7 linked regions of the Oryctolagus cuniculus genome follow. The protein of the gene in region 1 interacts with the protein of each later gene in a pairwise test. Links are inferred from orthologs where the notes say so. Each region holds a gene or a part of one and is shown in the gene's direction. Other genes may lie near its edges.

Region 1 (3,500 bases):
TCAGCCTGATTTATCTTATCTGTTATTCATTGCTTTAGGGCCAGATAGCATAAGGGACATACTCAAGTCGTTTTGTAAGCCTTCTGAAGGAAGCCCCTCCGCGGGTCAGGTCCGCAGGTTGCGCACTGGCAGGCTACGGGCCACACACGTGCCCCTGAAGATCTTGGATCAGCTGTGTGTAGCAGGCACCGGGCCGGCGTGGACTAGAGAATTGTCTCAAGCTGGGGCTTGAGACGCTCTTGACTTTTAAAAAAGGGCTCAGAACATCTTAAAATAGTCTGGTAGCTAAAATAACAACAACAGCAGCAGTAATAGCTCGCCATTCCTGAGAATGGCTGTTTGTTTAAAATCCAAGGCACTGGGTCTGGCAGGGGTTAGTTTCCACTAGCTGGGCTCCCACAAGAGTTTCCCTAATGGGAATCAGATGGCCTCGTCATGACCGGAAACACGGGGGTCTGGTAGGCGTGCTCAGCCCCTCAGCGAGGACCGCGGGTGCTGTGGGCTGCACCTGCACAGCCTGGGACCCTGCAGCAGGTGGTGTGGGCCTGGTCGTCAGATGTGCTCGGTCCACTCCTGTGGCCTGCTGGCTCCAGCCCCGGCCCTAGGCAGAGGGGGTGTGTTTGACTGCCTCGTGGCGAGGAGATGTGTGTGAGATCATGTTGTGCCCCGGGAGGGAAGGCGAGGTGAATTCACCTGCTGAATGGACTCGCCCCCGCCAAGCAGCCCCGTGCCCCAGCAGCTGGCTCTCCCCAGCCCCCCCTCCCTTGTTAGGGGGACCCTGCCGAGCCCCCGAGTTTCCGAGGGAGACGGCAGCCCTGAAACGGCTGCCCAGGTGCTGGGGAGGAGCGAAGCGGCGCTGTTTTAGCCGTGGCTCACGAATGACTTTGCCCAGTCTCCTTTCCCTGCCTCCCTCGGCAGTCCCGGGGAGCGTCCTTGGTTTCGGATTTTGACAGGTGATAAAAGCACATCTCCAGATTGCTGCTCCGCGGGCTCCAAATCCCTCGCTATCGACCGCCGGTCTTTTTGCCGCGGTGGAGGGGCTCCCTCGCGGGTTTGCCATTACTCTTAATGGATTGCCCCCCGATACGGGGTGAGGCGCCGGCCCTTGCCCCGAGCTCTGGCAAACTGCAGCTTGACCTGACTGCAGCTGGAGCTGCAGGAAAACATTTAGCCCCGGCAGTTGGCAACATACATCACTCTTTTCCCTGGAAAATGCAGTCGGTGGAAACGGCAGCTGCAAACCCTGTTCGGCTTCGTTACAGACACTCACGGCTGTTCACGTCCACGCTCTGGATTCTTACCGGAGATGCCTTGTGGCTACAGCGTTGGGCCAGGTGCTCTGTAGCGGGCTCTCCCCATGCCGACTCGACTCTCTTCTCCCTGGAGAGAGCCGCATTTGAGTTTGCGTGGGACCATTCCTACAGTATGTGGGCTCCCCAGCAGCAGCTGGCAAGACGTCAGAGTGTCCGAGTGGGCCCAGGCCAGTTCCGGGCCTGATTCTCAGAGGGTCCAGCGGGCTGGCGGTGCTGGCTGCCCCCCGCCATGTGCCTAGTTCTGTGTCTGCCACTCCCTGCCTTGGAGTCCAGGGAACCGAAGCCACTGGTTGTTCAGGCCTGAGAGTGATCCGGCTTCCGGCGCTGCCCGGGACTCGGGGTTGCGGGTGTGGGGTTTTCTGGTTTGAAAGCACTAACTCTTCCCTTATTCTTTTCTTGCAGATGAGCTCACAGTGCCTGCACTTTACCCCAGTAGCCCTGAAGTGTGGGCCCCGTACCCTCTGTACCCAGCGGAGTTAGCGCCTGCTCTACCTCCTCCTGCTTTCACCTATCCCGCTTCACTGCATGCCCAGGTAATCGATACCCATCGGCCACGACTTCACTCCGCCCGTCACCAGTCCTTTCCAACCTGGTCCCTCCCGGAGCACACCGTACCACTAACACCTATCCGGCTAACAGATCCACCTTCAAGAGATTAACGACCCCCCCTACTCCCCTAAATCCGGCTGGCACTGCCCAGGACTGATGAGGACGGTCTGAGAGCAATGATCACCCACTGCCTGATGTTTGTCCCCAAACAACACCTCTCTGCCCCCTTCGTGACCTCACCCTCATGGCACACACGAGAGCGCGGGGCAGCGTCACCTCCCCAGCTGCCAGCTAGCCAGGGGGCGTCACCGGACCATAGATGCGTGTGCCTTGCCGGGTGGCAGGAGGGCTGTGTGTGTGTGTGTGTGCGCGTGCGTGCGTGTGTGTGTGTCTCAAGGTTTCCGCTTCCTGCTCCATGAGAGCGTGTGCCCCGGGGGAAGACTGCGCTGTCTTCTGTGCGTCCCAGGAAAGGTTCCCATTTTGCAGGAAACCCCACAGGAGAGGCCCCGTGTGTTGTCTAGAACGTAAGGACAGGTTAGGGCGGAGTCCTCCTGTCCGGCTCTTCTCTCAGCTAAGAATAGCCCGAGTCTGAGAAACAAACTCCCGTGTCTCTGCTCAAAGATGACCGTCCACACACTGGCGCTCCCTCTCCCCAGGGGGACAAGGTTTTCTTTTAGTGGCAGTAATAGTGATCCAGGTTAAGGTTCCACCTTTGGGAATAAAAACCACTCAGTGTCTGGCCTGCAGAGAGTGACGCTTGATAGCAAATAAGCAGACGGGATGTAAATGTCCTTTGTCCTACTGCGTGTGCCAATCAGCCTGGACAGGTGGGGGAGGGCGTTGTTTGTTTTTCTTAGGGCTTGTTTATAAGACTGCATGAGGTAAGCAGCTTCCCAGAACCCTCTTCCTCCCGACTTAATACTCTCTTGATGACGGCAGCGAGGGTCCCTGCCAGGCGGCCTCGCGCCGTGCGTCAGCTGAGTTGTGGGTGCTCTGGGCAGGTGCAGGCTGCTCTCCCAGTGCCTCAAGCACCTTACAGGTCAGCTCCAAAGACGAGCCCTCGGCGCTTGGGCCCCCCAGCAGCCAGCCTTCGGAGGAGGAGGTAGAGCGTGGCATGAGTAGTGGGGATTAAAAAAAAAAAAACAAAAAACAAAAAAAAAGACAGTGGTAGTGAGAGTGCCTGGTGCAGAGGAGAGCAAAGATCCGCTGTAGCTTTCGCTCTCCGTCCCATGTCAGTGCTTGATGCAATCCTCAGAGACTGGCAAGTTATGTGGGGCGGGGGGCACAGCACGGAAATCCAGGGTTCTCTCTTGCACCAGGTGCCCGCTGTGTTGGCAGTGAGCTGCGTCCTTCTTTGTGGGTGACCTGAAGCAGCCACGGGAGCCCCTCTTGTGTGTCTCCCAGTGCCCCAGCTGTGAGCGGTGTGTCTCCTCTCCTCTTGCCAGGCTGCCCAGAGCCTGCTCAGTTGGCCATTAAGGCCCATGTCAGTGAGCACCGTGAAGCAGCGCGCGCTGCCTTGGTCTCGTGGACATCCATGGTCACCTAGAGCAGAGCCTTCCTCCGTGACCCTGGGGAATTGAGAGTGGACAGCGCCCAAGAGCCGTGGGGGGGGTGGGGGGGGGGCTTTGGGCCAGACAG
Region 2 (4,094 bases), on another chromosome or scaffold:
CGGTGTTGCGCACGGGGCGCGGGTCTCCAGGCTTAGAGCCGTGCTGGTACGGAACAGCTTCTAACAGTGATACGCTCGGCTCTCTTTGACCAGGGTTGGAAACTGTGGGCAGCAAGACAAGAGCTCAGGGAGCAAATTCTGGAAGCGCAGCGCTTTTAGTCGCTTCAGTTGCGGGCGCGTAGGTGAGGCGACCGCATAGGTGAAGACAGCTTGGTCCTAGCCCTGGGAACCACATCGTCCTCGCCAGGGGTCCTCCAGGCCCCCGGGGCCTCACAAGGCTGTGATGGAATAAGTGAGATTTCGTCGTGAGATTGCCACAATATCGATAAGTATGTATTTTTAAACAGTTGTGTTTAGAGAGCGTTGGCAACGTCGGCCCCGCAGTTACGAAAGCTGCAGCTTGAAGGATGTCCAGGCAGCAGAGAGATCCGCAGGTTCTTGGCGACTCAGGCGCCTGGCCCGCCCAGCTCAGCTCCTGGCCCTGGCCAGCTAACTCCGGCGCATCTCGCCCGCCTCCTTCGGGGTCCCCATCCGGACTCCCTTCCCGCCGGCCAGGTCCCCCTGCAGCCCTTGGTGGCCTGGGCGCGCCAAGGCTCGTCAGCACACGGAACGCCCAGTGACCCCTCGAAAGTCCAGAGGCTCCGGGACACGCACAACACCAACCGCAAGAGCTCCAAACCCGGACCAGGGTTCCCGCGCTGCCCCGGAATTCAGGGCTGGCTCCCGGAGGACTTAGCTGGAAAAGCTCCACACCAAAGTCCTAGATCTAAGCCCCTCTCCGAAACACGGAGCCTGGGCGAGTTTCAAAGTAAACTGGTTTGCAACTTAAATGAGACGTTTCCACCCCACCCCCGTCCCAGCGCCTTAGCGTCAGGTTCCCTTGGCTTCCCGGCTCGGCTCAACGTTGATGTCTCGGTTCCTGGCTCTGTCGGAGAGGGGGTGACTTTACAGAGGGGGGCGAGGAAAGGCGGAGCGGCTGCACCTGAGCGATTATAAACGTGCGGGATGCTGGGGTCGGGCGAGTGCCTTCAGCACCGCAGCCGGGGACAGGGCTCTGCCTGGCTCCCGAGCTACAGCGCGCAGCTTCTGGATTTTTATCTCTCTCTCTCTCTCTCTCTCTCTCTCTCTCTCTCTCTCTCTCTCTCTCTCTCTCTCTCACACACACACACACACACACACACACACACACACACACACACACACCTTTCCTTTTAAAGAGAGAAAAGCCGCCGTGCGCCCCTCTCCTCTCTTCTCTTTCAGGATCCCGCGCGGAGAGCGCGGGCGAAGCGCACCGATGCCGGTGGACGCCGGGCAGAACGCGGACCCTGTGTGCTCCCATGGGATGAAGCTCACCTGGGACATCAATGATCCGCACATGCCCAAGGTGAGAGCGGCACGCGTGGCGCGGTCCATCCAGAGAAGGGGAAATGGCAGAGACCCTGTGAGCAGACCCCCCCCCCCCCATTTCTGAGCGCCCTCACACGCAGAGGGAATTTCTGTATTCTCTACAAAAGATAGATCTGGGTTTGGGGCTGTGTCTTCTCCCCGCGATTTCCTTGTGCGCTTGTCTCAAAACACAGCGAAGGCAGCAGGAAAAGGCCATCAGGAGACAGTAGACTCCCTCACTTTCCTTTACCCAAGAGAGAAATCAAATGCCTCTCTGCTCCTCCACTTATTTGAAATCCAGTAGAAATTGAGGGAAGAATCTCAACAATGTAAATACCACTGCTTCTCTCGCATTCAAACTGTGAAAGAAGGCTGTAAATGGAGGCGACTTGAATCTGAAACAATTTATTCAGCCATTCTCTACTGCCTGGATGAAGGAAACTCCACAGTTACACTCATGGGGCCATCAGCATAGTCATTCTTTTAGGGTGAATTTTTTGTTTTAATGGGTGGGAATAGAGAGAATGAACTGGGAACTGAGCAGTACCCTTGGTGATGCTGGTTCAAGTCAAAAAGTCCTGGTTGCAGGTGAGGGGACCATGGGAGTTGCTTCCCCACACATTTGTGAAGGTAGACCTGCAGCAACATGGTGGCACAGGGTCAAGAGACATAGCATTTATTTATCTTCTATTATGTGCCAGATGGGTGTTCAGAAGAACAGCATTTCATTGGAATGCAACATGTCTTTGGACGTGCACTTTGTAGTTTGTTTCAAAGTCTACCTACTTCAGTGCTGCACTGTGCATCTGTGCACAAGTGGACCACAGTCCACACGTGTGTCTCGTTCTTGCTGACTTCTGTCCACATAAATCCTCATGGAAAACATTCTGAACTTGTATTTTAGGTGAGAGTCACCTCCAAATATGCAACAATGGCTCATCTCTCAAGGATTTTCTTTTGCTTGGGAGATGGGTTCTTCAGTAGGGAATGTGTGTAACATCTCAAATGCAACAGACTCATTGGAATAGTGAAAGAAAATAGAGGAAACGTAGCAAGCTAGCACTGCTCTGCCTAACCAAAGGAGAAGCTAAACAGGCTCCCTGACCTTGAGAGAGTCCTTGAGTTTGCCTTAGTCTCAGAGATGGACCTGTCATCAGGTGGAGGAACTAGATAACCATCTCAGCTCTGCCTTGGCCCTACAGTCCTGTTCTCTTTGTGTGTATCTCTACACATACAAGCATGTCAGAGCGAATGAAACCCAATCCTGCAATCCTTTGCTGATGTTTTGATTTTCAAATAACCTCCTCTGTGTCTTCACCTGCCGTGTCCCTGGCCCCGTAGCTGGGTGAACTCTGGGGCTCAGTCTGTACCGTCAGGGGGGGTTCAGTCTGTACCGTCAGGACAGAACTCAGGGTATACTCTCAGTGGCTGGTTTATTACTAAGATGCTAAAGTTGAATGTTCAGAGATACTCGCGTTTAATAAAAACATGGAGTTAGCAGCATGAATACATCACTTGGGACTTAACCTTAAATCAGTATATTAATTTATGCTAAGCTGGCAGTCTAGAGGAAAGCTGTCTTTGCTTCTCTGATGTTCTGCAGACATTGCTGATTATGTTAAAGTCCATTTGGTTTGGCATAGGGCATCAAGAGCTTTTGGGAAAAAAAACACACTGGGCTGTAATACAGATTTTTCCAAGGATAAAGTTCATCCCCATGATAGAGAATTGCAGTCCCTTTTTTACCCTGGCACTTTCACACTCCACTTGAAAATCGCATTTAAACAAACCAAGAACTGGTAAGAAACATAGGCTGTGGAGTCCAAGTGCCGGGGTACAAATCCTAGAGCTGGGTCTTGTGAGCTGTGTGACCTTGGCCACGCCAACTGACCCCTCTGATGTCCATGTTCTAGTGGGTAAAATGGGCAGAGTAGTACTTCCTGCCTGCACATGTGGTAAAGGCTAGATGAATTAATACAGTGTAGCGTTTAGGAGACAGGCAGTGTATACTCACCAGTGACTAGCCATTTGTCCCAAAGGCCAGGAAGAGCAGCATTTTGTGGTGGTATGGTTTGGTGTTTTGCAACATTTTTTGGATTGAACAATAACCTGTTCTTCTTCTAATGGGCTTGGAGAAAAGGGCGGTGCGTGTGCTTGGAGCCCGGCCGAGTTCAGCACCTGTCTTCACAGGAGCCAGCCCACTTCGACCACTTCCGCGAGTGGCCCGACGGCTACGTGCGCTTCATCTACAGCAGCGACGAGAAGAAGGCGCAGCGCCACCAGAGCGGCTGGGCCATGCGCAACACCAACAACCACAACGGCCACATCCTCAAGAAGTCGTGCCTGGGCGTGGTGGTGTGCGCGCACGGCTGCGTCCTGCCCGACGGCTCCCGGCTGCAGCTGCGACCGGCCATCTGCGACAAGGCGCGGCTGAAACAGCAGAGTGAGGGCGCGGCGGGGCGGGGCGGCCTGGGAGTCGTGGGTCCTCTCCCCCATCTTCCCGCAGAGCCCAGGGTCTAATCTCTCTCCCTCCGGGGTTTGCAGAGAAGGCGTGCCCCAACTGTCATTCGCCTTTGGAGCTGATTCCTTGTCGAGGGCACAGCGGGTACCCTGTAACCAATTTCTGGCGGCTTGACGGCAGCGCCATATTTTTTCAGGTAGGTGAGGTGAGACTATAATTCGTGATGGGCATGGAGTGTAGCTCCGGT
Region 3 (3,500 bases), on another chromosome or scaffold:
GCACTTCTTTTGCAATTGTCTTTCTTATCCTTGACAACATTCTGTTTACGCCTAAGGAAATTGGAAATAATAACCTGCTTCTCAAACTGTTTCTCCTGATAATTTAGTGATACCTTATATAAAGTTTGTTTGTACTTAGAAGCTCTATAAAGGGTGGGATTTCATATGCAACTATTGTATCCTTAGCATCTGGCTCCATTCCTATACAGAGTAGGTGTTCAACAAGTGTTCATTATAGGATCTGTCATTTAACCTAGTAGTCTTATTCCCAAGCTGTGTGTGTGTGTGTGTGTGGTGGGGGGAGGGAAATAATTCATAAGGTTTGTAATGTTACCATGGCAACATAATGCAGTTATAGTTTCTTTAAAGAGAAAAATTTATAACACTGTATTTTGTAATTTTTTTAGGAGGAGCAAAATAGAGGCAAACCCAATTGGGAGCATCTAAATGAAGACTTACATGTTCTAATCACTGTGGAAGATGCTCAGAACAGAGCAGAAATCAAGCTGAAGAGAGCAGTCGAGGAAGTGAAGAAATTATTGGTACCTGCAGTAAGTAGTTATTTCCAAATCTTAAATTTCGGTCTCACTTCTCAGGGTTTTTTAAATTAATGGCTGTTTAGTCTAATGGAGAATAGGTTATCATTTTTTAAAAATTTATTTGACAGGTAGAGTTATAGACAGAGAGAGAGACAAAGAGAAAGATCTTCCTTCCGTTGGTTCACCCCCTAAATGGCCGCTACGGCCAGCACTGTGCCAATCTGAAGCCAGGAGCCAGGTGCTTCTTCCTGGTCTCCCATGCGGGTGCAGGGGCCCAAGTACTTGGGCCATCCTCCACTGCCCTCCCAGGCCACAGCAGAGAGCTGGCCTGGAAGAGGAGCAATCGGGACTAGAACTTGGTGCCCATATGGAATGCCCGTGCTGCAGGCGGAGGATTAACCTAGTGAGCCACGGCGCCGGCCCTGAATAGGTTATCATTTAACCACAAAATATAAAAATAATTTATAGCTCATTTAGTGCTAGTCTAATGGGCAAACCATAGACATTGCTGACATTCTTAACTGGGAAAGCCTTTTCATGTGTGTATATATATATATATATACACACACACACACACACACACACACACACATATATATATGTATTTAAGATTTATTTATTTATTTGAAAGGCAGAGTTACACAGAGAGAGGAGAGAGAGAGAGGTCTTCCATCTGCTGGTTCACTCCCCAGTTGGCCGCAATGGCCAGAGCTGCGCCAATCTGAAGTCAGGAGCCAGGAGCTTCTTCCGGGTCTCCCACCTGGGTGCAGGGGCCCAAGGACTTGGGCCATCTTCTACTGCTTTCCCAGACCACAGCAGAGAGCTGGATTGGAATTGGAGTAGCCAGGTCTCGACCCGGCGCCCATGTGGGATGCTGGTGCTTCAGGCCAGGGCGTTAACCCACTGTGCCACAGCGCTGGCCCCCATTTTCCCATAAATTTTTGTAAAGAAGTTATGCAGGAAGTAGCAGACACAATATGACTTCTCAAAAATGCTGTCTTTTGAATCACTATATTTACGAGGAGAATGTAGGCACAGCATCAGCAAGGTAATGAAAGCTGTTCTTTTTCAAAAGCTGTTTCTTATTGTGAACAAGTAGTAAGTTTGTAGATGTCTCTACCACTAACTTTTATGCAAGGTAGGTGGGATGTGTTAGTAGGAGCATGTAATTTGAATTGTCTATGAGTGACAGGTACTCGGGGTAGCATCTCATTATCTCTTATAGAAAGATTAGTGAACATTAATTGAAACTTTCCCTTAATGTAATAAAAAGTCATCTTAATAAACTTAAACGATAGCTTTTACTAATGTAAAGCATGATTCAGAGCAGCTTTTTAACTTTACTATTATTTCTATGATCATAAAACTATTGTATTTCATATTTAGAGGTCGTAAATAGGATATTGAATGCTTTTTGAGGGTGACATCTCGTAAGAAATTACTCAGACACAATTTTGTGTTCTCTTCTTTCCCTCCATTCCATTTTCTTTACTCTTCTCCCTTTGGGTGTGCTTCTCATTAATAGGTAACCCTTTAGTAATTTTTAAAATGGCGATTACAACTATTACTAGACTATTATCTTTTTCAACAGGAAGTGAAAATTACTGGTTTTCTGAGTCACTATTAAATTTTGTTTTACAATAGTAAGAATACATGGAAGGATAGACCCTAATTGCCATTGAAAAACTAATAACACTGTTAGTACTTTGCCCACCAAAAATGTATTAACATTGACATAAATGAATATGGCATCTGCTGTTTTTATTTTCCAGATAGTCTAATCTTTATTACCCTGCTAGTGTCTTCTAAAAGTAAACTCACCAATTATATACACTTTCCATTAACTTTACAAAATTAATTCCTTGGAAGGAAAAATTTCATTTAAGTTCTGTTGACCTTATAAGGAATACAAATAAGTAGGTTGAGCATAAATTAGAATTTCTGTTTGCCCACTATTATACCATGTAATTGTATAACTTTTCTTTAATAAATGTGTTGTATTCAGTAAGCTATATAAAAAAATTTTTGTAAGCATATTGGGCTATTAGTTCCACCTGGATGTGTAAGTAGGAGAAATTTCCAACTTATTTGTATCTGTTTATGTGTTTATAAAGTGAGAGTCATAGCAATCAATCTCCAAAGAACTTTTTGTTTTACATTTATTTATTTTAAAGATTTATTTATTCGAAAGTCAGAGTTACGGAGAGAGAGAGAGAGAGAGAGATATCTTCCACCCAATGGTTCACTTTCCAATTGGCCGCACTGGCCGGAGCTGTGCCGATCTGAAGCTAGGAATCAGGAGCTGCTTCTGAGCCTCTTACACGGGTGCAGGAGCCCAAAGACTTGGACCATCTTCTGCTGCTTTCCCAGGCCATAGCAGAGAGCTGGGTCAGAAGTGGAGCAGCTGGGTCTCAAACCAGCTCCCATATGGGATGCTGGCGCTACAGGCCAGGGTGTTAACCAGCTGCGTCACAGGGCTGGCCCCAGAACTTTTTGTTTTAAAAGTGGTTTGTCTTTGAATATGAAAAGGTGGTAGGGTAGTTCATAAAAAGAATGACAGAAACTTTAAAAAGCTTAATTTATGTCCTGAAGGAGAAAATTTCACTTTTGATGATAAACCTATTTATCTTCTATAGAAGAATTTAGTATTGTTATTGAACAGATTGTAACAATTTTAAATTGTGCTTTTTGAAATTACTTACAGTGAGGTAATAAAACTTTCTTAGAATTATAAATCATAGGATAAAAAGTACAGACTTTTTGGTTTGGCTTCTATCCAGTGATTTAACACTTGCAGTAATTTCTTATTTATTTTATTGAATATGTTTATTATGACATGAATACTGTATTAGAGAATTTGTTTTAATTAAGGTGAACATTATTAAATATTTGGTGATACCAGGGTTAAGCAGAAATTTAAACAAAACAAAACCTCTCCATAATTGATAATTACTGTCTTTG
Region 4 (3,500 bases), on another chromosome or scaffold:
TCTATATAATTTTTTTTAAAGATTTATTTTATTTATTTGAAAGAGTTACAGAGAGGTAGACACAAAGAGGTAGAGACAGAGAAAGAGGTCTTTCTTCTGTTGGTTCACTCCCCAGATGGCCACAATGGCCGGAGCTGCACCGATCCAAAGCCAGGAGCCAGGCATCTCCTGCGGGTCTCCCATGTGGGTGCAGGGGACCCAGGAGTTGAGACATTTTCCACTGCCTTCCCAGGCCACAGCAGAGAGCCAGATTGGAAGAGCAGCAGCCAGGATCAGAAGCAGTGCCCATATGGGATGCTGGCGCTTCAGGCGTCAGCCCACTGCACCACGGTGCTGGCCCTGATTTCTATGTAATTTAATAGTGGGCCAACACACAGGAGAAGTCATAAAAGTTGAGAATATAGTTTTAGCTTATTCTTGTACAAAATAAAGCATTAATTCCTATAACTGATCTTTCCTGAGTGCCCATTATGTATCTGATAAAGGATGGGATATATAGGACATAGGGCTCCATAAAAAGGTAAAATATTTTTATTTGTTAAGGAACTTGTAATAATTCATAGGGAAGGACATAGATTTTTCTTTTATTTTAAAGGTAAAAATATAAACATATATAAGGAAGACAAATTATACATAATCCTATATTCAGATATCTAAACAATATTCATGCAAAATGTATTTACTTCCCTGTCTCATTTTTTTTAACTTTATTGAATGTAGATCAAGAGGATACAAGTTTATTGTTTATTCTTGTGTTCTTATAGATACTGTGGATGGTAGGGAAGAAAAACCTACTGCTTCTGATTCTTCTGGAAAACAGTCTACTCAGGTTATGGCAGCAAGTATGTCAGCTTTTGACCCTTTGAAAAACCAAGATGAAATCAATAAAAATGTTATGTCAGCATTTGGCTTAACAGATGATCAGGTTTCAGGTACGTGAATACCTGCATCCCTCCCATATTTCTGTTTCTTCCTGTTTTTCTCCCTTTCCTTCTTTAATAGATGAATAACTTGCATATGGTTCAGTGAACAAATCATTAAGAATTCAGTCCAATAAAGTTTGACAGTTGTATACACCTGTGTGAAATACCAAACAGATCAAGGTGCAAATGATTTCCAGTACTCCAGAAAGCCTTTTTGTACCTTTACCCAGTTCAGTAGCATTCTCCCCTTTAAAGAAGAATCACTATTTGAGCCAAATAAACTTTACTGAAGGTAAAATTTGAAGAATTGTTTTGTAAAAAAATTTGAACTATGTTGTGATTTTATTTCACATTTGTTGCATGGCTTAAGTTATATTTAATAGGTTTAATTATCTCTTCTGACCTGACATTCAAGAAATTAGATTTCTTGTTAACTTGCTTTACTGGGTATGTTAGCTTTGTGTTACTGTAATTAGATACCTGTGTAAGAACTTGAATAAAGAGACAAAGTTTATTTAGCTATGGTTTTGAAGGTTCAAGAGCATGATGTCTGCACGGGCTCAGTTCTAACAGAGGCCCCAGCTGTAGTTACAAAATGGTAGAGCTTGGTGTGTAGAAGAGCCTACATCACAAAACTGGAATTCAGAGAGAGACTGGATCCCATGGTCCCTTACATGGTCTTTGGTTACCTATCAAGTCCTACCTTCCAAATGTTCCAGCACTTCACAGTTACTACCCTGGGGAACATGCTCTTAATTATTGGACATTTGGGAGAACGCTCAAACCATAGTGGTGTAGAAAGTGCTATTATATGAATTAGTGTTTAACCTTAAAAAAACACCTATGCTGGGGTTTGTACTTTATTTTTTGGCCGTCATGTCTTCATTTTTCTGCTTGTTTGTCTCTTTGGGGATTCTAATTTATACACAAAGAGCTTGATATTGTCTCCTGACTCTCTGAGGTTTACATTTCTTCAGTCTTTTTTACTCTGTGTTCTTTAGACTGAATGATTTCTATTGAACTTTCTTCAAGGTTGCTGATTATCTGTGCTATTTCCAATTTGCTGTTGAACCTTTCTAGGGAATATTTTATTTCAGTTGTGCTTTTCATCTCTAGATATTTTTTATAGTTTCTATTTTTTTCTGTTTGATAGTTTCTGCTTTTCTGTTGAGATTTGTTAACTTACGTTCATTAAGATATTTTCCTTTAATTCTTTGAATATATTTTTAATTCTTTTTTTTTTTAAAGGATTATTTTATTTATATGAAAGGCAATCTTCCATCCTCTGGTTCATTCCCCAAATAACTGCGATGGTCTAGGCTGGGCCAGGCTGAAGCCAGGAGCCAGGAATTCCATCTAGGTCTCCCTCTTGGGTGCAGGGTATCCAAGTGCTTGGGCCATCTTCTGCAGCTTTCCCAGGAACACTAGCAAGGACCTGGATTGGAAGAGGAGCAGCTGGGACTTGAACCAGCTCTTTGATATGAGATCTGGCATCTTAGATGGCAGCTTAACTGTTGCACCACAGTGCTTACCCTGTTTAATTCTGTAAAATGTCCATAATAGCTGCTTTGTTGTTTGCCTGCAATATTCAATATCTGGGCCCACTGGGAATCAGTTTCTATTGACTGCTTAATATTCCTCCCCCACCCTTGGTATGGTTGTTTTTTCCTGTGTCTGTGTCTGTCTGTTTGGTTGTAAACCATATATTGTGTTTAATATGTTGAAGTAACTTGTGATTCTCTATGTTCTCTTAAAAGATTTTTCTTATTCTAGCTCTAGTAGGGAGTTAATTTCTGTGTGTGCAGACTATTCTCTCTTTTCTTCACATGGGGCTCAATCCAGCTGTAGGTGCTGCTTTCTTCTGAGCTTTCTGGGATGTCCCCAACCCTATCCTTCTGCTGTTTCACTCCCCAGTGGCAGCAAAGACTAAGGCTGGGTCAGGCTGAAGTCAGAATCCAGGAGCTTCATCTGGGTCTCCCATGTGGGTGGTGCAGCTTCCAGACCATTAGCATGGAGCTGGATTGGAAGTGGAGCAGCTGGGACTTGAACTGTCACCCCCATGGGATGTTGGTGTCACAAGTAGTGGCTTAACCTGTTATGTCACAGTGCTATGTTTATTAATTTGGAAGAATTTTTTGTAAGTTACAGTGCTAGACCTTGTGAGGCAGACAGAATCAAGAAATAGGTATCTGACTAAAAGAACTCGTAGCTTAAGAAGGAAGATGGGAGATGTTCAGAAATGTAAAATAGACATTGGATCATAATAGAAAGTAAACTACATTGAAGCTCAGTAATGGAAGAAAGTATTTGTGAATCAATAAAGCTTACTAGAAGTATGTAATTAAAAATGGGTTTTAAAGAATTGCGTATTTAAATATGGAATGTTGTATTTAAATATGAGTGAATTCTTCAGAGAGTTCATGGAAGACATGAAAAAAACTGTAGATTTCGGACCTTTTTGCGTCAACATAAACTTTTAACTCCATTTTCCTTTAATTTTTTTTTTTTTTTTTTTTGACAGGCAGAGTGGACAGTGAGAGAGAGAAACAGAGAGAAAGGTCTTCCTTTGCCGTTGGT
Region 5 (4,228 bases), on another chromosome or scaffold:
AGCGCTCCCACCTGGCGACCCCGGCTCCCTCGCAGGAGAAGCGGCCTCCATCTGGCCCATTCGGCCGGGAGTTCCAGTTCAGGTGTTCCCCTAGGGCCAGGGAGGCAGAGGGCAGAGGCCGCCGGGTCCCGACAGAGGCCGCCCTGTGGCTGCCGGAGCACTCGGCCGCGCGAGCCGCTCTCCCAGCCAGAGACAGCGCCTCGGCCGGCCGCTGGCCCTTCACCAAGACGGCAGGCACGGCAGCCCCGGGGCCTCACTTGGCGAGGCAGGACTCCACGCCGGGAAGCCCGCATAGACACGGCCTGGCGCGCCAAAGCCGCTTCCAACCTGCCGTAGCCTGGAGCTGAGCGCACTCGCTCAAAATAATGGACATCGCCGCCGCAGCTCCGGTGTTAAACACCGGCAGGGTCAATTTTGAGAAAAAAATAGGAGGTGGGGGAGTGGGAAGAGGAGGAGGAGGAGGAAGAGGAGGGAGAGGGAGAGGAGGAGGAGGAAGAGGGAGAGGAAGAGGGAGAGGAGGAGGGAGAGGAGGAGGGAGAAGAGGAGGAAGAGCTTTTACTCGGGATGAAACTCGCGCTCCGGCGGCCGGCGGAGTCCACACGGCCCCGGGGGGACCCCCAGCACCGGGGGCCAGGCCCGGACGCACCCTCGCCGGAGGGCGACCTCTCGGGGCGCGCAGGGGCTGGAGCAGGCGCACACTTCGGGAGTCCGCCGCCGCGCCGAGGGCCAGCCGGGCAGGGGCCGCGCCGCCCCCGAGGCCCGGCGGAGCCCGGGGAGCCCGGGGAGCCAGGGCTGCGCGCCGCGGCGGCCGCGGGCAGGAAGCGAGAGTTTACCACCGGAACGCCCCGCTCGGGCCCCTGGCGGACGCCGGCCGGCGCCGACCTATTTCCCGGGCGGTCTCGCCAACTGCGCGGCCCGGGGGCCCCGAGCGTCGGGAGGGAGCGCGACCCCACCTCCACAGCCTCCGCCGGCAGGAACGGGAGCGCGGCGTCGCCGCACGCGGAGCCCGCGGCCGGGGCTGCCCGCTGCACCTGCCGCCGCCTCGGGACTCGTGGGCGCGCCCGCCCGCTGGGCCTCAGGGCGGGGGCCCTGCCCGCTCGCACCCGCCGCGCCGGGGCCCGCAGCGGCCGGCTGGGGCGCGGGCCGGACCTGGGCCGAGGGGCAGCGGCCGGGAAGCGCTCGGGGGCCGAGGCGCCGGCCACCTCCGCGGCCCGTGCCCGCGGAGACGCCGCCCCGACACTCACCTGCCCGCTTCCCCTTCCGCGCAGCGCGGCGCCTCACTCGCGCTCGGACCCCACCGTCCGCCTCAACCAACCCGGCGGCGGCGGCGGCGGCGGCCGGACGGGAGGGCGGGACGGCGGCCTGAGACGGCCCCGCAGCCGCGGCCCAACCCGGCTCCGCCCGCCCCCGGACTCCGCCCCCGGGCCGCCGCCGCCGCCGCTCATTGGCCCGCGCCGCGCACGCATGGGCGCGGCTCCGCCCCGCCGCCGGGCCGCCGTTCCGCCCGGGATCCTCCGCAGCCATTGGGCTGGTGGCTCCCGGGGGCCAGAGCGGCCAGATCAGCCGCCGCCAGCCCCGAGACCACCATTGGCTGGACTGGGTCCACGCCATAGCTCTGATTGGACAACTGGCGGCTCGGGCCCCGCCTTCGCACCCAAGTTCCGTTAGCAGGTTCGGTTGCTCCCGAATTCCCTTTCGCCATGGGGGGCGGGGCCGTCGGGCCGGGCACTTTGGCTGGCTCCTCCCCCTGCACGCAGCAGCTGCTTACCGCGGGGTGGGCGGGGAGCAGAGCCCCCGGCTCGCTAGTTTTTTTGGGAGTTCTACTTTCTTCTGATTGGTTGGCAGGCGCCTGTGCGCACCGCTCCTCCGGTCGCTCGTTTTACGTTGCGCGACGCAGCGCGATGACGTAGAGTTCCCAGCATTCCACATCCAAGATGGCCGCGGTCGGCAAGGAGAGACGTAGCTAAGGGGCTTGCCTGAGGCGAGGGGTGAGTGTCCTACCGACTGCGGGCTGTACCGCCCCGCTCCCGCTCACCCGGGGGTCGGAGCAGGGTGTGGCCACCCGCCTCCGTCCGCGCGCGGAGTCTCTCTTCCCTGATTCCGGACCCCGCCTCTCGCCTCCTGTGCACGCTGAAGTTGGCGGGCTTCGGCAGAGGGGCTGAGGCGCAGGGGCCGGACGGGGACTCGGGGTGGGCCCTGGAGCGGGCAGCCGCGCTCCCTGCGCGGTCCGGTTGGGGTTCCAGGAGCTCCCTGCGGTGGCGGAACCGGGCAGGGGTTGCAGCCGCGGACCGCCCACGCTCCCCGCAGCGGACCCTGGACGCAGCGGGGGTGGGCCGGCGGGATGGGAAGAGGCACTTCCGCGATGAGATTCGGGTTGGTTTGTTAGCTCAGGAACTCGGGGCGTGGGTCCGGGGGTTAGCGAGGGCGCTGACAGCTGTGGCCCGTTCAACGGAGCTCTTGCAGACCCCGGGAGGTTAGGGACGACTGACCGGGGCCGTTGCTGTCCGGCCTGTCGCGTTTTTAAGGTGGTACCTCGAGCGAAACCGCCCTTCAGCGAGTGACGCATTAGTCGTGCGTGTTGGTGGATTCTTGCCTAAGTCGTGTTTCACGCGTGTGCTGTTTGGAAAATGCAGTTTGCACCAGCAAGCAATAAAGAAACATTTGAATTGTTTATGCGATTCTTAAGATTTGAATGCTCTTTTTAAGTTCAGTCTCATAAAGCAAAAAAAAAAATCACTCGTAGTTTTGGAGTAAGGAATGAGCTTCGTTTTGGGAGACTGTGGAAAGCGGTGAGTTTGCTGAGTGTCTGAAGGAAGGGAAATGAGGACTGGGCGAGGACAAATACCTGCCGGGTCACTGAGACGGCGGAGCGGATCTGGTTGGGTCGCCTCATTCCCGGGTTTAAGCGCAGATGAAGTTGCGCACGCGGAGGGGCAGAGTCGGTTGTATACGCTTGTCCGTGGCTTTGGAGGAGCCCCAGATGTGCAGTTGTGATGGAAAACTGAGCTCCGGGGCGTGTCCGTTCTCTCGGAGACGGCTCCCGGGCGCTGCTTTGTCACCCGTTGTAGAATCTCCCGCAAGCGCTTGGGAAAGGAGAGCGGAGCCCCTCGGGCCTGCGGGGCCGGGTGACTCAGGCCCTGGTGGTGGCTGCGGGATTGCTGGACATTTGGGCGGCTTGGCTGACGTTGTAGTCGGATGGATGGGCGTCCGCTCAAATTACCAAACCCGAAGCATTTGGATGTGAGTGTCGTCCTGAAGAAGAACGACACTACATTTACAAAAACTTAAATTTACACCGAAATTTGCAAAATCTCAGTTGTGAGTATTTGAGATGAGGAGGAACTGGCTTGACAGGAAATGGTTCCGGGTTGTGGTGCTCCGTTCTGGAGGTAAAGTAGTGGCTGCACTGAGGGAAGGCAGTATCTCAGTCTGAAGTGAAGCAAATTGTGACTGCCGTTCGCCAGCGGTGTGCACCGGGCAGGTTACTTCGTGTCTCCTCGGCTGGTTTTCTCCGGGATCAGCTGTAAGGGTAAGACAGGTAACTTGCCCCATAGCTGCAGCTCTGCGGACACACCGTGGACGTGTTACTCTCAGACCACCTGTTACATAGATCTTACAGAGTTTCTTTTTTTCTCATTTTGATGGCTAATATTTAGAGAAGACCTAGAAACCCTGAGAACCCTTATGGAAAAATGGTTAATTTGTTTACCTTGGAGAAAAGAGGGGTAGGCAAAATTGTCTTCATATATTTCAAAGGCAATCATTAGGTCAGAGAAACTGTTTCCAAGGCTTTAAAAGTCTCTAGGTGGGAGTGATGGAGAGTTCTTACAAGGTAGTTATTTTGTGCCATCTATGTAGCAGATCTAGGGAAGGAACGGAACACACAGAGATCAATATAGGGCTGGTCCTGGTGTGGCAGGTTAAGGTTCCACCTGCAACATCCCATGTGGGCACTAGTTCAAGACCCGGCTGTCCCACTTCCAATCCAGCTCCCTGCTAAGGTGCTTGGGAAAGCAGTAGAAGATGGCCCACCCGGCACCCACACTGGAGACCCAGCAGAAGCTCCAGGCCCAGCCCCAGCTGTTGCAGCCATTTAGGGAGTGAGCCATCCGATAGAGGATTGAGCCCTTTCTCTGTAGAGCTCCCTTTCAAATAAGTAAAACATAAGTACTTTTTTTTCCCACAGTCCAGTAATTTATTTTAAATTGGAATAACTTCAGATTCCACA
Region 6 (4,273 bases), on another chromosome or scaffold:
GTGGCTATCTGGGGAGTGAACCATTGGATGGAAGACCTCTCTCTCACTACCTCTCTGTAACTCTTTCAAATAAATAAAAAATAAATCTTTAAAAAAAACTTGGGGGGCGGGGAGAGGAACCCAATTAAGGGGCAGTCAGCTCCTCCTCCTCTCTGCACAGGGGTCCCTCGTCTGGCTGGAACTTGTTCCAGCTGGTTTGTCAGCTCCATCCCGAGCGGCTTCCCTGCCCTCCTTCCCCTCTTCATTCTGTTATGCAACCACAACTGCGGGGCCTGCTTCCTGCACCAGGAGGAATTGTCACGCAAAGCAATTTATCTGCAGCAAAAAAAGGAATCTGAGGGGAATCTTCCCAAAGCCTCCGTTGTTTTAGGAGGACTGACTATGTAAGAAGGGGCGTTCTTGTCAGAGGGAGGGGTGGGCTCCAAGGTAGGCTGCGTGTTGTGGTGATGAGGCTGACGCTCCTCCAGGGGCCACGCTCGGGAATGACAGGTGGATGCCCTTAGCGCCGTCTGCGCCAGTGCTCTCCTGCCAGGTAAACGAAAACCTGAAAGAGCTTTGGACGCCGTCAGCTGCTTCCACGGTTTCCAAACAGAAGCGAGTTCCAGTAAAGACTTCTGGGCTACTGAGGGCACTGGCTGGTGACAGTCCCTTCTCTCTGCGCGTCTGCTCGCACCCGTCACACACACGCGGAGTTGTGCACCTTTCTTTCCCCACTTAACCGGAGAGCCCTGAAGCTCCGATCTGTCCTTCCCCCTTAAGTCCTTTAACGCCTGTCGACGGGATGGATGAATCAGTGAGGAAAGCCGAGCCAGGCCAAGGTCTGCAATGGCAAACCACCAGGTCTTTAAAAACAGCTTCCTTAAGGCGTAGCTCGCAGGGTCGTGCGACCAGCACCACGCCGTAATTCTGAAACACTTTGTCCCCTAAATCGGAAACCCGTGAACCAGGAGCGGTCGCTGCCTGCTCGCCACCCTGTAGACCCCGGCAACCGCCGATTCCCCTTTCTCAGACGGACCGCAAACCCTCAAAAACCGCCCCTCGTCTCGGGGACCTGCAGGAGCACCGTCCGGCTGGGTCCGCAGTGTGTTCAGAGCTAGATCCCCGCTGCCGAGGCGGGGCGCGGCGGTCCCGCTCGCCACCCTTGCGGTTCGCCGTCAATCCCCGTTAGCTGCGAACGCTCCGTCGGAAAACCGGGCTAACTGCGAAATCCCGCACCGCTGCGAGCAATTGTGCTGAGTGCCCGCCGCCCAAGACGTGTGAGCGCAGGGTGCTGGGGAGAGCAGCCTTCCGCAGCGTCGAGTCCTTAGGCGAGTCCTCCGCGGACGGTGCGCGGGACACCTCCCGCAAGCAGCCCGCACTTTCCCGAACCCGGTCGGGAGCGGGCGCGGGCGTTGCCGGGCAGGAGCGCTTCCTCCGGAGGCGCCGCGTCCGAGTCGCGCGCGCAGTGACGCATCCGGCGCGCGGCGCGGTGCACGCTGGGATATTTAAGTCTTCTCCGCGGCGCGGAGCCGCGATGTCTCCGGCGGCTGCGGCGGCTGGAGGCGAGCGGCGGCGGCCCATAGCGAGCGTCAGGGCCGGCCGGGGCGCGGGCGGAGGCTGGGGCCGCGGCGGGCCGGCCTGGGCGGCGCTGCTGGGCCTGTCGCTGCTCGGCCTCGTGCTGTACCTGGTGCCGGCGGCGGCCGCGCTGGCCTGGCTGGCCGTGGGGGCTACCGCGGCCTGGTGGGGATTGAGCCGTGAGCCCCGCGGTTCGCGCGCCGTGTCCTCGCTCGTCCGGAACGCGCGGCGCCAGCGAACGTTGCTCGCTTCGCCCCCGGCCAAGGCGGCGGTAAACGGCGATCTCCTAGAGCCGCGGACCTTACTCGAGGGACCCGACCCCGCCGAGCTGCTGCTCATGGGCAGTTACCTGGGCAAGCCCGGCCCGCCGCCCGCGGCCCGCGCGCAGGAGGGCAGGGACCTGCGGGAGAAGCCGGGCCGCAGCCCGCCCGCCCGCGCCGGCGCGCCCGCGCCCCCGGCGCCCCGCACCCCGCAGGCTTACCCCTCCTTCTCCTCCCCTGTTCTCCGACCCAACAGGCGACCCTCCTACAGGTAGGACACGCGGCCCACGGCCTCCCCCGGGCGGCTCGGCCTTGCCCTGCAAACCGCGACTCGCGTGTGGTTTTGTGCTTTTTACCGAAAACCGTGGTGTGTGCTGGCCGCCCCCGGGCCTCCTATCCCTGTAGGAACGAGAGACCGTGTGGCCAGAGCTCTCCCTCCCACTTGCAACTCCTGCACTTCAGTGTGGTCTTGATTTATCCGAATGTTTAGTAACCCCCGACGTGTCCCTGCTGGTCCTGTCGCGTGCTGGCTGCGGCCTCGTCTGGACCAGAGGTTCTGTTCGCAGAGCTCCGGGAGGGATTGGAGGCAGCACCTCTCAGATTTAGTTAAAGAAACGTTTTCGTTTGGTTCCGGTAGCCGACAAAAGGGGGATGGGTTAGATTTTTGGTGCAGAAGGCGTGCCTGGGAGTGGGTGCGGTAGAACCCCTCCCTGCACGCCCCGGCCGCACACCGCCCTGCCACTGCTCCCTGACTTGTTTGGGCAAGGTTTTAATTTCCCTCTCAGATGGTTGAGGTCTGAGCCCGTGCCACCCTCTGCCCTCAGCTGGAATGGGTAGGGGGCGTTGCCATAGAACCATGGTGGTGTGGGTCGCCTGGGAATCGCGCGGGCTCACGCGGGCCGTCTCCGTTGCCGGCAGGGACTGTGGGACTTTATCGAATCGGTTCGTAATTACGCCCCGAAGACGCTACCCGATCCAGCAAGCCCAGTACTCGGCGCTGGGAGTGCTTCCCACCGTGTGCTGGAATGGTTGTCCCAGGAAAGCTGTGCTCTCCGTGCGCAATTCCAAGATGGTGTGTAGCCCAGTGACCGTGCGGATAGCCCCTCCCGACAGCAAGCTGACCCGTCCTCCGCTGTGAGTACCTCCGTCTGCGGCCACCACCTTCCGCAGTCCTGCTCGTGGCCAGCAGCCGTGGAGCCAGAGGGAGTAGCTACTTATCTGAAAGAGAAATCCTAAATTCTAGTGGAACGCCCATTTATCATGGTCTTGCCGGTCGCTTTAGGTTCTGGGGGCACTACACTCTGGCGAGTCGGTGGGCCCCCGGTTTCCAGGGACCGCACCTGTGCCGTTCGGAGTGGGGAGGGAGCATCTTCACTGTTTGGATCTCGTCTTCCATTCCAGCCCCGGGCAGACCGTCGACGCAGCACTGGCCTCACCGGCAGCCAGCGCCCCAGACCCGTGTGCGAAGGAGACTGTGCTGAACGCCCTCAAAGAGAGGAAGAAGAGGACGGTGGAGGAAGAGGACCGCCAGTCCCCAGATGGCCTGGAGAATAAGAGAAGGTGACAGGGCAGTGGGTGCTGACAGGCTCACGGGCCCGCAGCTCCTAGCAGCTTCCGCTGGAGAGCCTTGGCTACTCCCCAGCCTGGCTTTCGGAGAGGAGCCTGGCGACAAGGACAGGTAGAGGCCGCCCGCTTCCCAGAGCACAGGGCAGATGCGTTTTCCTGCGTTTTTTTTTTTTTTTTTTTTAAAGATTTATTTTATTTATTTGAAAGAGTTACAGAGAGAGGAAGAGACAGAGAGAGAGGTCTTCCATCCAATGGTTCACTCCCCAGATGGCTGCAACAGCTGGAGCTGTGCCGATCCGAAGCCAGGAGCCAGGAGCTTCTTCCTGGTCTCCCACGCAGGTGCAGGGGCCGAAGGACTTGGGCCATCCTCCACTGCTTTCCCAGGCTATAGCAGAGAGCTGGATCGGAAGTGGAGCAGCCGGGACTCGAACCGGTGCCTATACGGGATGCCGACGCTTCAGGCCGGGGCTTTAACCCGCTGTGCCACAGCGCTGGCCCCAGCTCCTACATTTTGATACAGATGTGTTCAGTTTTCTTTTCACACCTTGCCCTCACAGCTGTGTGCTTGGCAGTTATTTGGGTAATCACCAGTTAAATCCTGTATTTATGCTGAAGGAAACGCTTGTCCAGGAACAGTGAGCACCAGAGTAAGGCAGGCGGATCAGCGATGAGCGTGAAGCCAATTTCCCTATTTGGTTTTCATGCTAATGTAGTAAAAATGGAGTCTGTTTCCTGAGCGTGGGCAGAACGGAGGCTGAGTGGCCAGTTGGGTGCAGAGCACTCTGCGGCTGCCCAAGGAGCCACTTCAGGATTTCGCTCAGTTTCCGATTCAACAGGCACTTCCTGAGCACCCACTGTGTGCTGGGTCACAGTCCAGGCACCGTGGACAGAGC
Region 7 (2,377 bases), on another chromosome or scaffold:
CCGGGCAGCCCACTCAGCGGTTGCCCCTCACTCACAGGCAGCAGTCAGAGCAGCCACACGAGCAAGTACTTCGGCAGCGTGGACTCTTCAGAGGCAGAGGCTGGGGCTGCGCGGGCCAGGGCCGAGCCTGGAGACCAGGTCATTAAGTATGTACTCCAGGATCCCATTTGGCTGCTCATGGCCAATGCTGACCAGCGTGTCATGATGACCTACCAGGTGCCCTCCAGGTGAGGCGGGTCCCAGGCCTCTTCCACCTCCCTTGTTGAGGTGGTGGGGAAGGCAGCCCCAGCCCACCCTCCCTCCCCAGCTAACGTGGAGTTTTCTTCCCTGGGACTCTGTCCTGGAGGCTCCATCCAGCCCCTGGCCCCCTGGAGCCCCATCAGTAGTTTCCCCGACTTGAGAGCAGGTTGCCTGGGCTCCGAGAGCCATGAGCCTCCATCGCCCCAGCTGAGGGGAGGAGCACGAGGTAGTGGGCGGGGAGGTTGCTAGAGGCAGACTGCCAGCCTCGGGGGTCCTGGCCGCCTGGCCTTGGTCCTGGATCCTAGCCTCTGCCTCGAACCTTCCCCGGGCAGGGACGTGGCGTCCGTGCTGAAGCAGGACCGGGAGCGGCTCCGGGCCATGCAGAAACAGCAGCCTCGGTTTTCCGAGGACCAGCGGCGGGAACTGGGGGCTGTGCACTCCTGGGTCCGGAAGGGCCAGCTGCCTCGGGCCCTTGATGTGATGGTGAGAGAAGTCTGGGGGCGGGGGGCTGGCAGGGGATTGAGCACAAGTTCAAGGCAGAAAGGGTAAGGGCTGGGTCATGAATTCCATGAGCTGCTGGGTGGCGTGGCTGAACTGCCATGCACCTGCTCTTGCCCGTGCCCGTGGTGATGGTCCCCTAGTGGCATCTGGGTAGCCAGTAGGACCCCAGGTACACATTGGGAAGCACCGCTGGGCCCCGGGGCCGGGAAGCTGGGTTGGCGGACAGCCCTGAGGAGCCTCCTGCCTCACTCGTACCCCCTTTCTCTCTCCAAGGCCTGTGTGGACTGCGGCAGTAGCGCCCAAGACCCCGGCCACCCTGAGGACCCTGTCTTCTCGGAGCTGGAGGGACTGGGGCTGGAGCCCATGGAGGAGGGTGGAGGCGAGGGTGGTGGCGGCGGCGGTGGCGGCAGTGGTGAGGGTGAGGGTGAGGGTGGTGAGGAGGCCCGGGCCCAGGGGGAGGCCAAGGTCTCCGGCTCCCAGGACTCAGCCATGGAGGAGGAGGAGCAAGGTGGGAGCTCATCTGGTCCAGCCTTACCCGCCGAGGAAAATGGCACCAGCTAGGCTCCATCCGGGGGCCACCTCTGGGCGGGGAGAGGCATCCTTCTGTGTCCTCATGTCAGAACCCAGAGGTGGCCAGACCAATAGGAAACGGCCCCAGCTCGTCGGGGGCGGGGGCTGGACCCATCACCAGCCCGGGATCCAGGGACTGCCTCTGTCCTGTTAGGCAACAGCGGGTGGAACTCCCCAGCGCAGCCTGGAGGGGTGTCCCCTGCCACCCCTGGTGAGGAGCGCGCCCTGCCCCAGCCCAGGTTGCTGACAAGCTGCTCAAGCAGTCCCGCCGGACCCCACGGAGCCCCAGCGTCAGCCCGAGGGTTCACTGCACTTATTTATTGGGGAGATGGCTCTCTCTCCCACCTCCTCCCCACGTGGGCCGAGGGACTGAGGGCCAAGCAGGACCCAGGGGTTCGAGCCCCTAGCTGCTCCAGGGTGGGGGAGGTTGGTGGACCACGGAGTCCCTGGTGCTGCCCCTCAGGTGGGACCCAGGCGTTCTCAGCTGTTCCCTCTACCAATGGCATTTGTGTTTTTGATATCGTGTCTGTTATTATTTTTGTAATACAAAACCGGAAAAACAAAAACCATCAGGACTTTGTGGAATGAAGTTTGGGAGCGGGGAGCTGGAGCGGGGGGTGGGGTCCCGCTCCCCCGGAGGGCTGCCTGAGGGTGTGGGCGCTGCTCTCCCTGCACCTCCACTGAGGGCCCTTGACGGCTGCAGACGTCAGCACCAAACTCCGACTCCACGCTCGCCCGCGCATGGCCTCAGCTGGTGTCCCGGGAAGGAGAGATGGATGGAAGGGGCCCGGCTCCTTGAGGTCACCACACCGAGGGGGTGGGGTAGGGGAGGCCCTCGGGCAGCGTCAGCCTAGGTGCTACGGGCACCCGTTGTCCTGCACCCATGGGGAAAAACTGGGCGGGACGTTGACCTCCAGCCCGGACCCCGAGGGGCAGGGGCGAGCCGGGGGTGGAAGGACGCGGCGCCGGGCCTCTCCGCAGCCTCGTCGATGGTGTCTCAAAACAGCTGATGTGCCGCGAGACAGGCCCGCCTTCCCGCCGGCGCCGTGGCTTAGCTGGTTAAAGC

What was found.
Region 2: the proteins of RBPMS (region 1) and GCM2 interact in binary tests that used the Homo sapiens proteins (3 or more experiments, as listed by UniProt). The link is inferred for Oryctolagus cuniculus from reciprocal best matches to the Homo sapiens genes RBPMS and GCM2.
Region 3: the proteins of RBPMS (region 1) and QKI interact in binary tests that used the Homo sapiens proteins (3 or more experiments, as listed by UniProt). The link is inferred for Oryctolagus cuniculus from reciprocal best matches to the Homo sapiens genes RBPMS and QKI.
Region 4: the proteins of RBPMS (region 1) and TFG interact in binary tests that used the Homo sapiens proteins (3 or more experiments, as listed by UniProt). The two-hybrid records come from large-scale screens. The link is inferred for Oryctolagus cuniculus from reciprocal best matches to the Homo sapiens genes RBPMS and TFG.
Region 5: the proteins of RBPMS (region 1) and CCNK interact in binary tests that used the Homo sapiens proteins (3 or more experiments, as listed by UniProt). The two-hybrid records come from large-scale screens. The link is inferred for Oryctolagus cuniculus from reciprocal best matches to the Homo sapiens genes RBPMS and CCNK.
Region 6: the proteins of RBPMS (region 1) and POM121 interact in binary tests that used the Homo sapiens proteins (3 or more experiments, as listed by UniProt). The two-hybrid records come from large-scale screens. The link is inferred for Oryctolagus cuniculus from reciprocal best matches to the Homo sapiens genes RBPMS and POM121.
Region 7: the proteins of RBPMS (region 1) and PER1 interact in a two-hybrid assay, tested with the Homo sapiens proteins (2 studies listed by BioGRID). The link is inferred for Oryctolagus cuniculus from reciprocal best matches to the Homo sapiens genes RBPMS and PER1.

The regions. Positions count from the first base shown.
Region 1 is NC_091433.1:80,573,674-80,577,173, forward strand, and holds part of RBPMS (RNA-binding protein with multiple splicing), read left to right. Parts: intron 1-1,715; coding exon 1,716-1,846; intron 1,847-3,500.
Region 2 is NC_091436.1:159,772,536-159,776,629, forward strand, and holds the start of GCM2 (chorion-specific transcription factor GCMb), read left to right. Parts: upstream 1-1,294; coding exon 1,295-1,384; intron 1,385-3,576; coding exon 3,577-3,829; intron 3,830-3,930; coding exon 3,931-4,043; intron 4,044-4,094. UniProt on the Homo sapiens protein: Transcription factor that binds specific sequences on gene promoters and activate their transcription. Through the regulation of gene transcription, may play a role in parathyroid gland development.
Region 3 is NC_091436.1:5,210,496-5,213,995, reverse strand, and holds part of QKI (KH domain-containing RNA-binding protein QKI), read left to right. Parts: intron 1-407; coding exon 408-551; intron 552-3,500. UniProt on the Homo sapiens protein: RNA reader protein, which recognizes and binds specific RNAs, thereby regulating RNA metabolic processes, such as pre-mRNA splicing, circular RNA (circRNA) formation, mRNA export, mRNA stability and/or translation.
Region 4 is NC_091435.1:55,298,795-55,302,294, forward strand, and holds part of TFG (protein TFG), read left to right. Parts: intron 1-764; coding exon 765-932; intron 933-3,500. UniProt on the Homo sapiens protein: Plays a role in the normal dynamic function of the endoplasmic reticulum (ER) and its associated microtubules. Required for secretory cargo traffic from the endoplasmic reticulum to the Golgi apparatus.
Region 5 is NC_091451.1:43,336,013-43,340,240, forward strand, and holds the start of CCNK (cyclin-K), read left to right. Parts: upstream 1-1,428; 5' UTR 1,429-1,671; intron 1,672-1,768; exon of another isoform or gene 1,769-1,988; intron 1,989-4,228. UniProt on the Homo sapiens protein: Regulatory subunit of cyclin-dependent kinases that mediates activation of target kinases.
Region 6 is NC_091450.1:50,673,903-50,678,175, reverse strand, and holds the start of POM121 (nuclear envelope pore membrane protein POM 121), read left to right. Parts: upstream 1-1,473; 5' UTR 1,474-1,513; coding exon 1,514-2,085; intron 2,086-2,732; coding exon 2,733-2,948; intron 2,949-3,215; coding exon 3,216-3,374; intron 3,375-4,273. UniProt on the Homo sapiens protein: Essential component of the nuclear pore complex (NPC). The repeat-containing domain may be involved in anchoring components of the pore complex to the pore membrane. When overexpressed in cells induces the formation of cytoplasmic annulate lamellae (AL).
Region 7 is NC_091448.1:52,634,356-52,636,732, reverse strand, and holds the end of PER1 (period circadian protein homolog 1), read left to right. Parts: intron 1-37; coding exon 38-227; intron 228-572; coding exon 573-723; intron 724-1,014; coding exon 1,015-1,302; 3' UTR 1,303-1,877; downstream 1,878-2,377. UniProt on the Homo sapiens protein: Transcriptional repressor which forms a core component of the circadian clock.